2 linked regions of the Danio rerio genome follow. The protein of the gene in region 2 interacts with the protein of the main gene of each other region in a pairwise test. Links are inferred from orthologs where the notes say so. Each region holds a gene or a part of one and is shown on either strand. Other genes may lie near its edges.

What was found. The genes of interacting proteins can lie anywhere in the genome.
Region 1: the proteins of ubac1 (region 2) and trim2a interact in binary tests that used the Homo sapiens proteins (3 or more experiments, as listed by UniProt). The link is inferred for Danio rerio from reciprocal best matches to the Homo sapiens genes UBAC1 and TRIM2.

Annotation. Positions count from the first base shown.
Region 1 is NC_133176.1:26,947,896-26,954,107, reverse strand, and holds part of trim2a (tripartite motif-containing protein 2), read left to right. Parts: intron 1-2,287; coding exon 2,288-3,014; intron 3,015-6,212. UniProt on the Homo sapiens protein: UBE2D1-dependent E3 ubiquitin-protein ligase that mediates the ubiquitination of NEFL and of phosphorylated BCL2L11. Plays a neuroprotective function. May play a role in neuronal rapid ischemic tolerance.
Region 2 is NC_133180.1:55,324,874-55,331,822, reverse strand, and holds the end of ubac1 (ubiquitin-associated domain-containing protein 1), read right to left. Parts: intron 6,010-6,949; coding exon 5,757-6,009; intron 5,629-5,756; coding exon of another isoform or gene 5,626-5,628; coding exon 5,539-5,625; intron 5,401-5,538; coding exon 5,262-5,400; intron 2,268-5,261; coding exon 2,152-2,267; 3' UTR 1,789-2,151; downstream 1-1,788.

The DNA of each region.
Region 1 (6,212 bases), on a different chromosome or scaffold from region 2:
TTTAGGCTCTGGCAAACAGGATTTGGTGATCCTGAAATTTGAAATTTGGATCACAGTGATCCAACCCAGTGTTCCTTTAAAAAACTGTTATGGAAAATAGATCAGTTAATCATGGATGGTAAAACATGGGAATTGCAAATCTGGACCAATTTGATCCAGATTACATTTTTTGAAAAACTGGGCCCAGGAGATAATGCAGAATCTGAAATATTTTCTCTTAGATACAGTTTGAAATTTTTTATCTAATCAGATTCAGACATTTGGACCACTGTGTTATGCCATTTATATGGAGGTATGTGTGTCATTGTCTGTGTGTGATGATGCATCTCTGTGGCTGCAGGTTTGTATGCAGGTCTAAATATTTATAGTGTGAACAAACCTTTTAATCTCTGTTGGATTCTGGAATGTTTATTTGTAGCTTGTTGGGCATTTGGCTACCTAGAGCCAGGACTTGAACTCGGGTTGTGTAACCAGACTGCATGTAATAGTGCTGCCAACAAATCCGTCTCTTCCAAACACAAGTTGTTGCACATGTACAGTTATGGAGCATCTAGCTGATGTCTTATTTGGTAAAACTGAACGTATAATATTAATATAGCAAGTTTAGTTTCCTATAAATAAAAATTTGAGATTAACTTTGTTAATGAAAAACAAAATTCAACAGACATTTACCACAAATCCACAACTAAACTTTCTTAACAAAAATGCATTATTATATTGGATTACACATATAAAGTACATGAATATTAAAGTATATATCTGAGGATTAGTTTACGCAAAAAAAATAATTTTGTTATTAATTTCCCTCATGTCATCTCATACTAATCTTTTTAAAACATTGTGTATCTTTAGAACATAAATTCATATATTTTAGATAAAACCCAAGAGTTCTCTTATCTTCCATAAACAGTTATGGTCAGAGACACAAATAATCCAGAAAAGGAATCAAAATATTGTCAAAACATTCCATGTTACTTTATTGGCTCAATTTTAATCGTATGGAGATCCAACACTTTGGCACATGCTGTACGTTGTACATCCCTGTAATACACATGCACCCTGACCTGTCAGGAAGTTAAGTTTTAGAAGAACAAATTGTCCAGTCAATGTTCCTATTACTTTATTGTATGTATTGTTACTATTTCTTTGGCTATTTACTGCTACAGTAAAAGTGGATCTACAGGCATCTGAACCATGAGATGTCCTAAGTTACTCATACATGGCTTTTCTATCTTTGCATATTTCTTTTTGCTAAATAAATAACGACACAATGTGAGATGTTATGTGATGTTGATCATCTTCCAAATTTTAAAAGGTACAGTATGTAAAATTGACATAGTGGTTGACATGGGTATTGCTGTCCAAATTCAAAACACCGGAGTGGGTTTTTTTCACCCAGCCCTTCCTCTGACAACTCCACACACATGTAGGTTGCCAGGTTGACCACACAAACAGGAGCCAAGCATGCATAACTATCGGGCCTACAGTATACCGTGTCCTAAATACATGCAGAAAAGTGGAATCACTGACTTAAGCATTGTTTTTCAGATAAACGTATTATAGTAATTTGATGCTTTAGAGGAGTCAAAAACTCACATTGAGACCTGCAAAGCACCGTATTTTTTTTTATTATGTACTGCCATGCAACACTATTGAATGGTGTGTCCCACTATTCAATGGTGTGTCCTAACCTTTTCACATAATGGACCCTTTTCACACTTCTGGGTTTCTCAGCAGCAGATGTCATCACAGTTGAGTGAATTTAAAGCGCAGTGAATGGGAGAGTACAACAAATATTTGTTTACAATTCTGTTTGCTCTAATAAAATAAATATTACAAAGAAAATAATATCAAAACATTCAGAAAAGAAAAAAATTTGTGTGAGACTGATAAGGCAGCCAAAAGAGAGAACAATGTCAAATACACTGTCCCGCCCGTAGACACTGCATTAAAAACATAACTGTTTTTGTTTATAAGCTTTTATGTAATTTTACGCAAAGATAAGATAATACATACATAAATGCATATAAATGTGTATACATTTAAAAAAAAAATCTAATTAAGGGTTAAGGATGCTGATGACCATTAAACACATCGTGACAGTCTTGTGAAAGAGGTCCATTGTTTCTCAAATGTAACCAAATGCAATTGCTTATCAGTTCAGTAAATCGGCAGTGGCACCAACACCACCTCTCGCAAAATTTTATCAAACTAGCAGGAAAAAGGATCGCAAAGTGTGACCATTTACTCACAGAGGCCTGATATATGACTTGTATGTGATTTGCAGGTGTTGCAAACTCAGCTGGAGTCGCTGCTGCAGGGGCAGGATGGCATACGCAGCAGCTGCAGCTTCACCGAACAGGCTCTTAATCACGGCTCTGAAGCTGAAGTCCTATTGGTCAAGAAGCAGATGAGCGAGCGTCTGGATGAGCTGGCCAATCAGGAGCTCCCACTGCGGCCAGAGGAGAACAATCAACTGGACTTCCTGGTGGAGACTGACGGTCTTCGCAAATCCATCCACAACCTTGGTGCCATTGTAACAACCAATGCTGTTGCAGCAGAAACTGTAGCCACCGGTGAAGGCCTGAGGCACTGCATTGTGGGACAGCTGACGTCTGTCACAGTAACAACTAAAGACAGAGACGGCGGGCTGTGTCGGACTGGAAATGCTCTGCTCATAGCTGATCTTTCTGCTATTGATGGCAGCATCGTGGGTGAAGGCAAAGTCACGGATCATAAAAACGGCACTTATGAGTTTGTATACAGTGTCCCATGTGAGGGCCGCTTCACGCTTACCCTCAAGCTCTATGATCAGCACATCAGGGGCAGCCCATTCAGCATACGAGCCAACAAACCCACAGACATCTCTCTTACTGCAGATGTGGACAAAAAACGGCTCAAGTCTCCAGGAAACAGCCATGTGAAGCAGCGGGCCATCAAACGGCCTGCCAGCATGTACAGCACCGGCAAACGAAAAGAAAACCCAATTGAAGATGACCTCATATTCCGAATCGGTATGATAAGCATTAGAAATCAATGTTGTGACAGTCACTATTAAAGGCAATTGCTTTTGTTTGAGAAAACTTCAAACCTCAAACTTATTGCCCATTTCCACTAACTGGTTCAGTACAAGTTGGTACGGGCCACCTTTTAGGCTTGCATTTCCACTGCCTAAAAGGGTAACCTTTGGGTGGGTGTGCTGTATGACAGAAAGTTTCAGTCGACATCATTTTCGCTCAAGGAAATGTCAAAGTAAAGCTGTACGTGTGTTGTTTACATCATATGAAAAGCACTTTGCACAAAACAGATGCTTTATACACATAAATACTTGTGTATAAATGTTTATTACTAACTTTCCTATGAACATGATTTGATTATAACTGCAGATCAATAATAGTGCGCAATAGCCTACTGTAATCACATAAAATAAATAAATAAATGCAACATATATGAACACATAAAGCCCCTTACAGTATTTAATATGTTACCAATTACAGAAAAACAACACACAGCATACGTTTAATCCTTATTTGGGTTTAAAAACGACACGCAACATATAGCCCACAGTTAGAGCAAACCTCTCATCTGTATCTTTAATCTTCACCAGCACATGTAACCTCTGTTAGAAAGTAATTCCGTCATTCCGAGTTCTTAATGGAGTTCTTTTGTAAACTTCTAAGAGCCCAAAAAACCAGGGAGAATCTTTCGGTTGTCTTCAAAGCAGAATCCTTTTTAATAAGAAGAACTCAGTGTGGCTGTGGCGTCATCAAAAGCAAACTCTAAACTCCACAGCAAACATTATACATTTTATACATTTTACAGCATGTAGGTGGGGTTAGTCATGGTGGGGACAGTCAAACAAAGCATGCAAATGAAGTCTGGTTGTCTGCAGGGTGCCATGCTTTCTCCAGGTCTGATCTCATCAGTATATAAGTACATCATTACAACAATGTGCAAATGATGTTCTGGAGACAGAGAAGACAATAGATACAGCCAAGCTGTGAAACTGATAATTGCATCACTTTGGCTTAGCCTGTAGTCAGCAAGGCAAAGGTTAAATGTCCCTCCTAGCTGGCATGTCAATAAAATGATATAATTAAAAACCAAAGAATATAACTTTTCAGTTATACGTAGATTATTGTTCATTTGGAATTAGATTGTAGAAATGTATATTTCCACAGTTCAAAAACATGGCAGTTTGTTCATGTTTAAGGTTGGTGAAAGAATCATTTGTTTTTTTGGCTTCTCCTTTGTTTTTTCGCACTTCACTTTCGCGTTTATCCATTTCCAAAAGAATCAGATGTCAGAAGCACTTCAAAAATCACGCGCACGTTATTATCATCAGCTCAAGAAGTTTGTTATTTCAAATATAGATGCACGGCGAGTGTTTGCAAGCTCTCTGGAGAAAGTGAAACCGCTCGCACTTTTAGATGGCCTCTTAAAACAAAAACAGGACACTGCAGATTTTGTTCGTGGCTTTGTGGCCGTTTATCAAGACAACGACAAGGTTTGTCTGAGCTCGGGTCAACCATGGCTTGTTATTATATGCAAATAGTATTATGATATAATGTCTCGGCTGTGAATTTAAATATGAAGGTTCTTTTATTTTCATCCTGCACGAGTGACGCTTCTCTATAAACTAATAGCATTCAGTTGCGCGTCTTGCTCTGCTTTTTGGTACCATTTTGCCGTGTTAGGTACCCTTTTCAAAGGGTGCCCAAAAAGTGGTACGGTACGATTCGCTTTTAGGTATCTTTTGACAGTGGAAACAGCCATAAAAGTGTACTGAACCATATTATCCATATGGGCCATTAAAGGGATATTTCACTCAGCCTTTTGAATTTACGCATATTTAAGTGGTTCCAAACTTTGAGTTTCTTCTGTTGAACATTAAATCTATCTTGAAGAAAGCTGCAAACCTGTTACAACTGACTTCCATAACAGGAAAAACAAAACTATGGACAATAATGGTTACAGGTTTCCAAATTTCTTCAAAAAAAAATCTTCTGATTATTCTTAAAAATATATGTCAAACTGCTTTGGATCAAATAGAGGAGTAAACAACAAATATGATCATTTTGGGGTGAACTATACCTACTGTATACTCTAGTTCAAAGTCTTAAGACCAGGTGGAAAATGACAAGTATTCACATTTTGTTTCTGGTGGATCACAACAGGTTGTAATGCCAAAAGAAGAGCTTGAAGCACATGACAAAAAAACAGAGCAGGCAATGTCATTATCACTTTAACATTCATTTTGGCATGCTTTATTCAACAGTTTCCTGGAGGCAGTTGGGAACATTAATTCCATGTGGTGTAGATTGCTTCCCGAAAGGCATTCATGGTCTCGAACTGACAGACATTTTATGATAATAATTTTCAAAAGCATTTTACACAAAAACATACAAATATAAAACAGTTTAGAATAACAGTAAAATTGCATTATTTAAGATAAAACATTCAGAATGATAAAACATTAAAATATTTTAAAACATAAAACAAACCAGGAATGCACTCCTCATGAATAGGCGAGTGTAAAGTAGTGAGTTTTCAAGGATGATTTAAACAATTTAAAAGATTCAGCTAGTCTAATGTTATAAGGGAGAGAGTTCCAGAGACTCAGAGCCAGGGATGAGAAAGCCCGGTCACCCATAGAGTGCAGACGAGTGGAGTGGACTGTTAAAAGACCAGAGTCAGAGGAACGGCAGTCACGTGAAGGGGAGTACCATGATAGAAGTTCAAACTAAGTGGGGTGAGTGTGTGTGCTGCTTAAAAAGTGTGTGTGTCTTCCAAAACGAATGTGGAATGATCCGATTGGCTAGCTAATGATTAGCGATAGGGACCAGCTGCAGTCAATCCCATGACATGCACCTCTAGAAATTAGTTTGCAAAACTTCACTTATTATTGTGTTAAACTGGTCTATTGGTCTTAATAATTTGATCAGGAGTGTACATCTTGAAGGCCTGGTTTACACCTCATATTTAAGATTCTTTCATAATTGAGTCAGAAAATCAACTACTTTTCTCCCTTAGCTCACTTTCTTTGGTAATACATGTACATGGCAATTACTCTCAGATCTGCACCAAAACACTTGGTCCAAGATTGCATGAATGCTGAAAATTTGGGCTGAATATATTTGTTTTGTTTCTAATCATTTGAAACCTCAGTGGGGAATGTTTTGCATTTAATTTGCATTTAATGCTTATGTTAA
Region 2 (6,949 bases):
TCTTGTGATTTAAACCAGTAAAATCTAAGTTTATATGTGACAAATCAGACTTTTTCTCAGAAATTTGAGAGTTGAAAGACAAAAACTTGAAACTTGTGAGACAAATTGTCACTATTTGTACATCTCTAGGTTTTTAAAATACAAACTAGCAATTGTTTTTCAAAAAAAAAAGTACAAATTAAATTTGCAATTGCAAGCAAGTCAGAATTCTTCATTTATAAATTCCAATATGTCCTGATTTTAAATAACCTTTTTTTAATTGTTTTAAATGTGTCCTGTAGGTCCACAGCCTATGGCATCTTCAGTCAGTTTAATTCCCAAGAAAGTCACGTACTAACAAAAATCTATGGGGGAAAAAAAATGTAAATAAACCAACAACCAAACAGATATTTGTGGAAATTAAGCTCTTTTTTTCTTTCATTAATTCATTTTTAATGATCAATTAGTACAACAATACACACTGCTAACAATAAAGATTTTAGTATATATTTCTTACAATTGTACATCTGCAGGCTTTTAAGATAGCAACTGTTGAAAAAAATACAAATCACACTTGCAATTACAGACAAGTCAGTCAGATTTCTTCATTTATATACTTAAATATGTCCTGATTTTAAATTTGTTTACTTGTATTGTTTTAAATAAGTCCTGCAGCCTAGTATCATCAGTCAGTTTAAATCCTAAGAACGACATGTACTAACAAAAATCTATAAAAAAAAAGTTTATAAACCAACAACCAATCGGAAATTTCCGGAAAAGTCATTTTTTCATTATTTAATTTCAAATGATTAATTAGTGAAACAATACCCACTGCTGACAATAAGAAACCTCCAAATTAAACCTGCAATTGCAAGAAAGTCAGAATTCTTCATTTATATCTCACTATTGCAGTTTTCATTTTTATTTATTTATTTATTGTGATTTTTGAAATAGCACGCTCTCACAATCCTGACTCATTCACAACACCAAACTTAAATTCAGAATTCTAGGCATTTAGTATAATATAGTAGAACTTTCAGTTCACAAATATAAGTTCATAACATGCTAATGTGAGATTTAATTCACAAATCTCAGAGGAAAAGTCTGAATTGTAAAATATAAACTGTTTTATAGAAATAATATAAATTGTATAAAATAATATAATGTAAATTTCAATTGTTTTCCATGGCAGAAACAAGTTTCTTGATTTCCCAGCCTGCTGTAAGTACAGCAATATAGAGGCAGCAGCTTGATCATAATAGTGGATAATAAAAAGGTACTGCAATACATCACTTGAAAACCCCTGATGCAGGGGCTAGTAAAGTAAGGTAACGATCCAGTACTCATTTACGTATATAACATTTTTGTTCTAAAAGGACAAAACAAAAACTGACTCGTGTCTATTTGGACAGATTCCACCTGAATAGTCTGTTTATAGATGAATAGAATGAGAGATATAAGAAACAAAGGGATCAGGTTAGATTTCATTATCTATCATATATCAGCGTACGCAAGGGGCTTCCGTCAGCTCCACATCACATATCTGTACCATGTTTGAATCATCTTTAAATGAATTGCAGAAAAACTGCTGGTGCTCGCTTTCCCCCAACATATGTTCAGTTCATGTGGGTGTAAGGAACATCTATTATATCACATAATTGTTTTTGAACCAATAATAAAACTAACTGAATATATGTTTACCTCCCAGTAGAAACATTCAGTTATGACAAATGTACTGTGTGAGCTGTCATATAATTTGGTTATAATTTGATCTTTGCGCACAAGTAACATACAAAATTCCTTTTTTTCTTTTTAGATGACTAATTGTACAGTTACACAGGGAAATGATATAAAATAAAGCATGTGCTTAACATAATTAAAAACAGATCTTCCTAAAACATAAAAAACTAAATAATGTAGTTAGCGATTTATCTTTATGTTACTGCTTTGTACAAGTCTTGAGTAAAGTTATAAATAGATATTTTCCTCTGTATATCATGATGTGAAAATGTCATCATAGTATTTTTACATTCATCATCTGTGACTTCCCACTTAAAACAATAATTAAGCCACAAACACACACACACACACACAAACTCACACAGTTCTCTTATAAACGATTTACATTTTCCCCTGCACTGTGGTTCCGGCTGCTCCAGCGATGAGGTGTGCTTATGTGCGGTTTAGTGTCTGGAAGATTCTGGAGATTTGGAGCATGACGGGACCCGTCTCAGGATCATTCATCCACTGTGTGCTGTTCAGCGGATTCTCCAGCATGTCCTCAAATGCTGAAAAGCCCCAAAAGTATAGATACAGTTAGGCCCATAAATATTGGGACACAATTCTAGCATTTTTAGCTCTATTCACCAACACAATGGATTTGAAACTAAACTAAGATGTGCTTTAACTGCAGACTGTCAGCTTTAAATTGAGTGTATTTACATCCAAATCAGATGAACACTGTAAGAATTACAACAGTTTGCAGATGTGCCTCCCACTTGTTAAGGGTCCAACAGTAATTGGATAATTGGCTAGTCAGCTGTTTTATGGCCAGATGTGTGTTATTCTCTCTCTATCCCAATTACAATGAGTAGATAAAAGGTCCAGAGTTCATTTCAAATGTACTATTTGTATCTAGATTCTGTTACTGTCAACTCTCAAGCAAGCCATAATTAGGCTGAAAAAACTAAACGAACCCATCAATAAGACAGCAAAAACATCAGGCGTGGCCAAAACAACTGTTTGGAACATTCTTGAAAAAACAACTATGGTGGAAGACCAAAGAACTATTTCCCTGTGCCGAAAACACTTTCTACTTAACAGTTGGCCAGATCTAGAACACTCTCCAGGAGGTAAGTGTATGTGTGTCAGAGTCAACAATCAAGAAAAACAGGAAGGCCGGATTAGAGTTCAATCTGCAGTTAAAGCATACAAGTTCATTTAATTTCAAATCCATTTTGTTGGTGTATAGAACCAAAAATGTTAGAATTGTGTCAAGCTCTGGTGTTCCTAGCCCTATCTAGTGTTCTTCGTGCTTTCAAAATAGTAGTCCTGCTTTCAATGCATTGGCTAAACATAAGAGGAAAAAAAATCAGATGATTTAAAAAAAAGCTAAATATTAGCCTTGGAGACATATAGGTCAACGCCTATGAATACAGATGAACATTTTAAATATGTGCTGATTTACTGTCTCCTTTTGGTTCACTCAGAGATCATTCAGCTCCCAGCTTTCATCAACTATTAGCAGAATTTCTTCTAACTTAGTAGTCACTAACATTATTAAAATGCCCATACTAAACAATACACTTTTTCTCACAATCTTGTTTTAATTACTCTTTTCGCACTTGGGCAGCTAATGGACTTGTTGAGGTAAATGATTTATGTGAGGAGGGGGTATTCACATCTTTTTTTTTTTTAAATACAGTCTTCACAACAGTCATTTGTTTTGTTTCTTTCAGGTCAGACACTTTGTTAAGAAATTGTTTCCCTGAACACCATCTTGACTATTCCTTCAGTACTCACCAGAAACATCTAATTTCGGCTATTTATAATTTAATAAGTACACTAAACGCAGATCCTATAGTTTCTCTCAAAGAATCTTGAGAAAAATGACCTTGTGTTGGTATTGAGGAAGGTCAATGGGAAGATATTTTAAAAATGATCCATTCCTCCTCTATTTGTCTATTACAACATTATTCAAACTTGGTTAATATCAGTAAATAGATGAACAAAAATTTGCTAATGGATCATTATTCTAAAGTGTTACCAATCAGGTTTTAATAGTGTGTAAAATTTCATTTTTGGGTCCCTTTATGTTGTCTACTAATGCAGAGTTCAAAATGCACAATTTTAGCCCAGATTTTGACTCGCCGACAGGTTTTGAGAAATCGCCAACAAATGCCTAAAAATCAAAGGCAACTCTGTGTTCGTTCATGCGAGTAACTATCACACAGTGAGAACTATCAAAGACGTGATCTGAGAGAATCGCTGATGAGTCACTGACACCCGTGAGATATTTGGCATGCTAAATATCTGGAGCAGTCTGTGATTCAAAATCATGCTGTGTGGAATGTGTTCTGATTGAAAAAAACATCTTCAGCCAATGAGAGAGCAGCATCCACTAGTATAGGTATCTGCAGGCCAGCGGAAGGTTGGGGGAGAAATTATAAGTGCTTCATTTTAGTCTTTTTTGGACCCAAGAAATGAAGGAAAAACTAGTGTACATTTGTCAGGAGCACTTGTGTGTGTTAGACATGTCATCTTAGGAATACCACGACCGGCTCGACAAAGAAAAAAAGTTAAGGAGAAATTTCTAATTCCCTCCAAAACCCAGTTTAGTTTCTAGCTTACTAAAGTCTTCTTTCCCATTATGTAGTTAATAACAAAACGTTATCTGGGTATACCCTGCATTGTTTTCATGTTAATTTTTGCTTGTTTGGTTGTGAGACATTTTTTGCAGACTCAGACAAAGTTGTCGCCGATTTTTCCTATTGTAAAGTCATGCAGTGTGAAACCCCATCGCTGATCCATCTTGTAGTGTAAACACAGCAGCAACTAAATGCTGCCCCAAAGAGTCATGCAGTGTGAAAACACCTGTGAAACGACTACTTCGAAAATCCTCTAGTCTAAACTCAGCATAACCAAGAGGAGCAACAAGACAAAAACACAAAGTTAAGAAAAATGAAACTAAGATGTCACTGTCAGAACTGCGATTGGAAAAAAATGGGACATACTGACCAGCCATCACTAATATTTTTAGCACTCCAAAGATTAAGCCCTTTTTATGAGAGTGGCTAGAAAGAAAGTCACTTCCATGCCAGTCCAGACTATAACTGGAGATTGTGAGAAGCCGCGTGACAACAGCTGAATGGCTTTGAAAGTAACTGCCGTGGTTTGATGAAGTGAAAATTGAGCACTTTGGCCTGACAGCAAAGTGCTATGTTAAACACAAACCACAGAGAGAACAACACCCAAATAACGTCATCTTACAATCGAGCGTGATGTTGGAGCATAAAAGTCTGAGGTTACTTTTCAAAATTTGAAAAACTAGCTGTGATAAGTGGCCAAATGAACAGAATCAAATAAAGACTGAAAAACCTCCATGATACCAGCAAAAATACCTTTATCCAGCAGAAAACTACACAGCAGATAAAACTGCAACTATTATTTGACTATAAAATTCCTGTTCACAAATGTGTCTATGTAAACTGGCAAACCTTCTTTTCATTTATAAAAAAAAACAAAACAAACAAAAAACATACGTATTTAGAGAGAGAAGTCACCTAGAAGAGTCTTGGGGTTTGTGAGACCAAGCTGTACAACGGGGTTCTCCAGGATAGCCTGAAACAGTGGACTGTTGGTATCGATGCCTTTGTCCAGATCCTCAGGACTGGGCTTTCTGTCACCGAGCAGCCATTCGCACTGTGTGGGAAAATAGATTTAACATTAAAACAAGTCACACTTTAATAAGAATCATAACTAGTTAGAAATTTGAGGCATCTTAATTAGCAGAAGAAATGACACAATATACTTGATACAATTCTTTAAGTGTTTACATACAGCTGCATCCTGTTGATTATTATTGACGCGGAGAGCATCGATCACTTCCTTCTCATCGAAGCCCATCTCCATTAGTGCAATCACTGCCTGCTTACACACAAACGACACAACGCATCTCATTCAAAATGGCTTGGGCATATATTAGTGCTACAGCAATGTTTGAGTTTAAAACTCAACTGTTCTTCTTGTGTTTCTCATGACTCTCACATGACACTAACCCGTGAGTCTGGTCTGAACTCTCTTTTTCTTCTGATCCTTTTAAAGATCTCTGTCAGTTCATCCTGTTTGGCCTCGTCTATGCTGGCCTGGGAGATCAAACGAGCACGGGCTGCTAAAGCTGTGGCAGAGGCTCCTGGAGCAGGCGCTGCAGCGGCGGCTGCCCCTGGACTCTCCTGTCCTGGTAGAGGCGCATCAACCATGGGGTCATCAACATGCTCAATCAGCCATTCCATAGCCTGGGTCACAGACATGCTGCAAACAGAGTGCTTTGTTATTAGTGGCTTTTATTTAACCCAACGAGAGCTGAGATTTTTTACAGTTCATAACCCACAAAACCATCTTTTTTGTTCATTTATCTGTTGTTATCTAGATTGTGGTTCTCAACCTTTTTCACTTCGAGGCCCACCTTTTTCTCTGAAAAATTTTTGAAGACCCAAACTGATTGTCTAGAGCAGGGGTGACCAAACTCTGTCCTGGAGGGCCGGTGTCCTGCAGATTTTAGCTCAAACTTGCCTTGACACACCTGCAAGGATGTTTTTAGAGTAGAAAGCCTAGTAAGAGCTTGATAAGCTAGCCCAGGTGTGTCTGATTGGGGTTGGAACTAAACTTTGCAGCACACCGGCCCTCCAGGACCATGTTTGGACATGCCTGGTCTAGAGAAAATGCTTATTTTAAAGCTTTATTTATTAGCAAAACATTTATTTTGCCCTCTATTACTCCCTAGTTTTTCAACATTTTTTTATGTATATATGTATATATATAAAGTTATATATATATATATATATATATAAGAATATATATATATATATATATATATATATATATATATATATATATATATATATATATATATATATATATATAAAACTTTAAAAACACACAGACAGGTTCAAAGCTCCTGAATTCTTTCCTTCAGTTATTCTTTAAAGCTGCAGAGTATTTGGGCCTTTTCTTCATCTATTGATTTATATCCACTTAACCCCAACCCTAAATGTAAAATAAAGAAACAACCATCTAAATATGTTGAAAAAAATCGATCTGATGGTGGTTTAGTTTGTAGCTGGACATTATTAGAGTTCGCTGACAGGAAAGGTGAACGGCTGTTCATAAATGAAACACCACAGATTGTTGCTAGATCCTCCTGTACGGACTCACTTTAGTTATAAAACGCTCGCAAGATGTTAATTTGGAC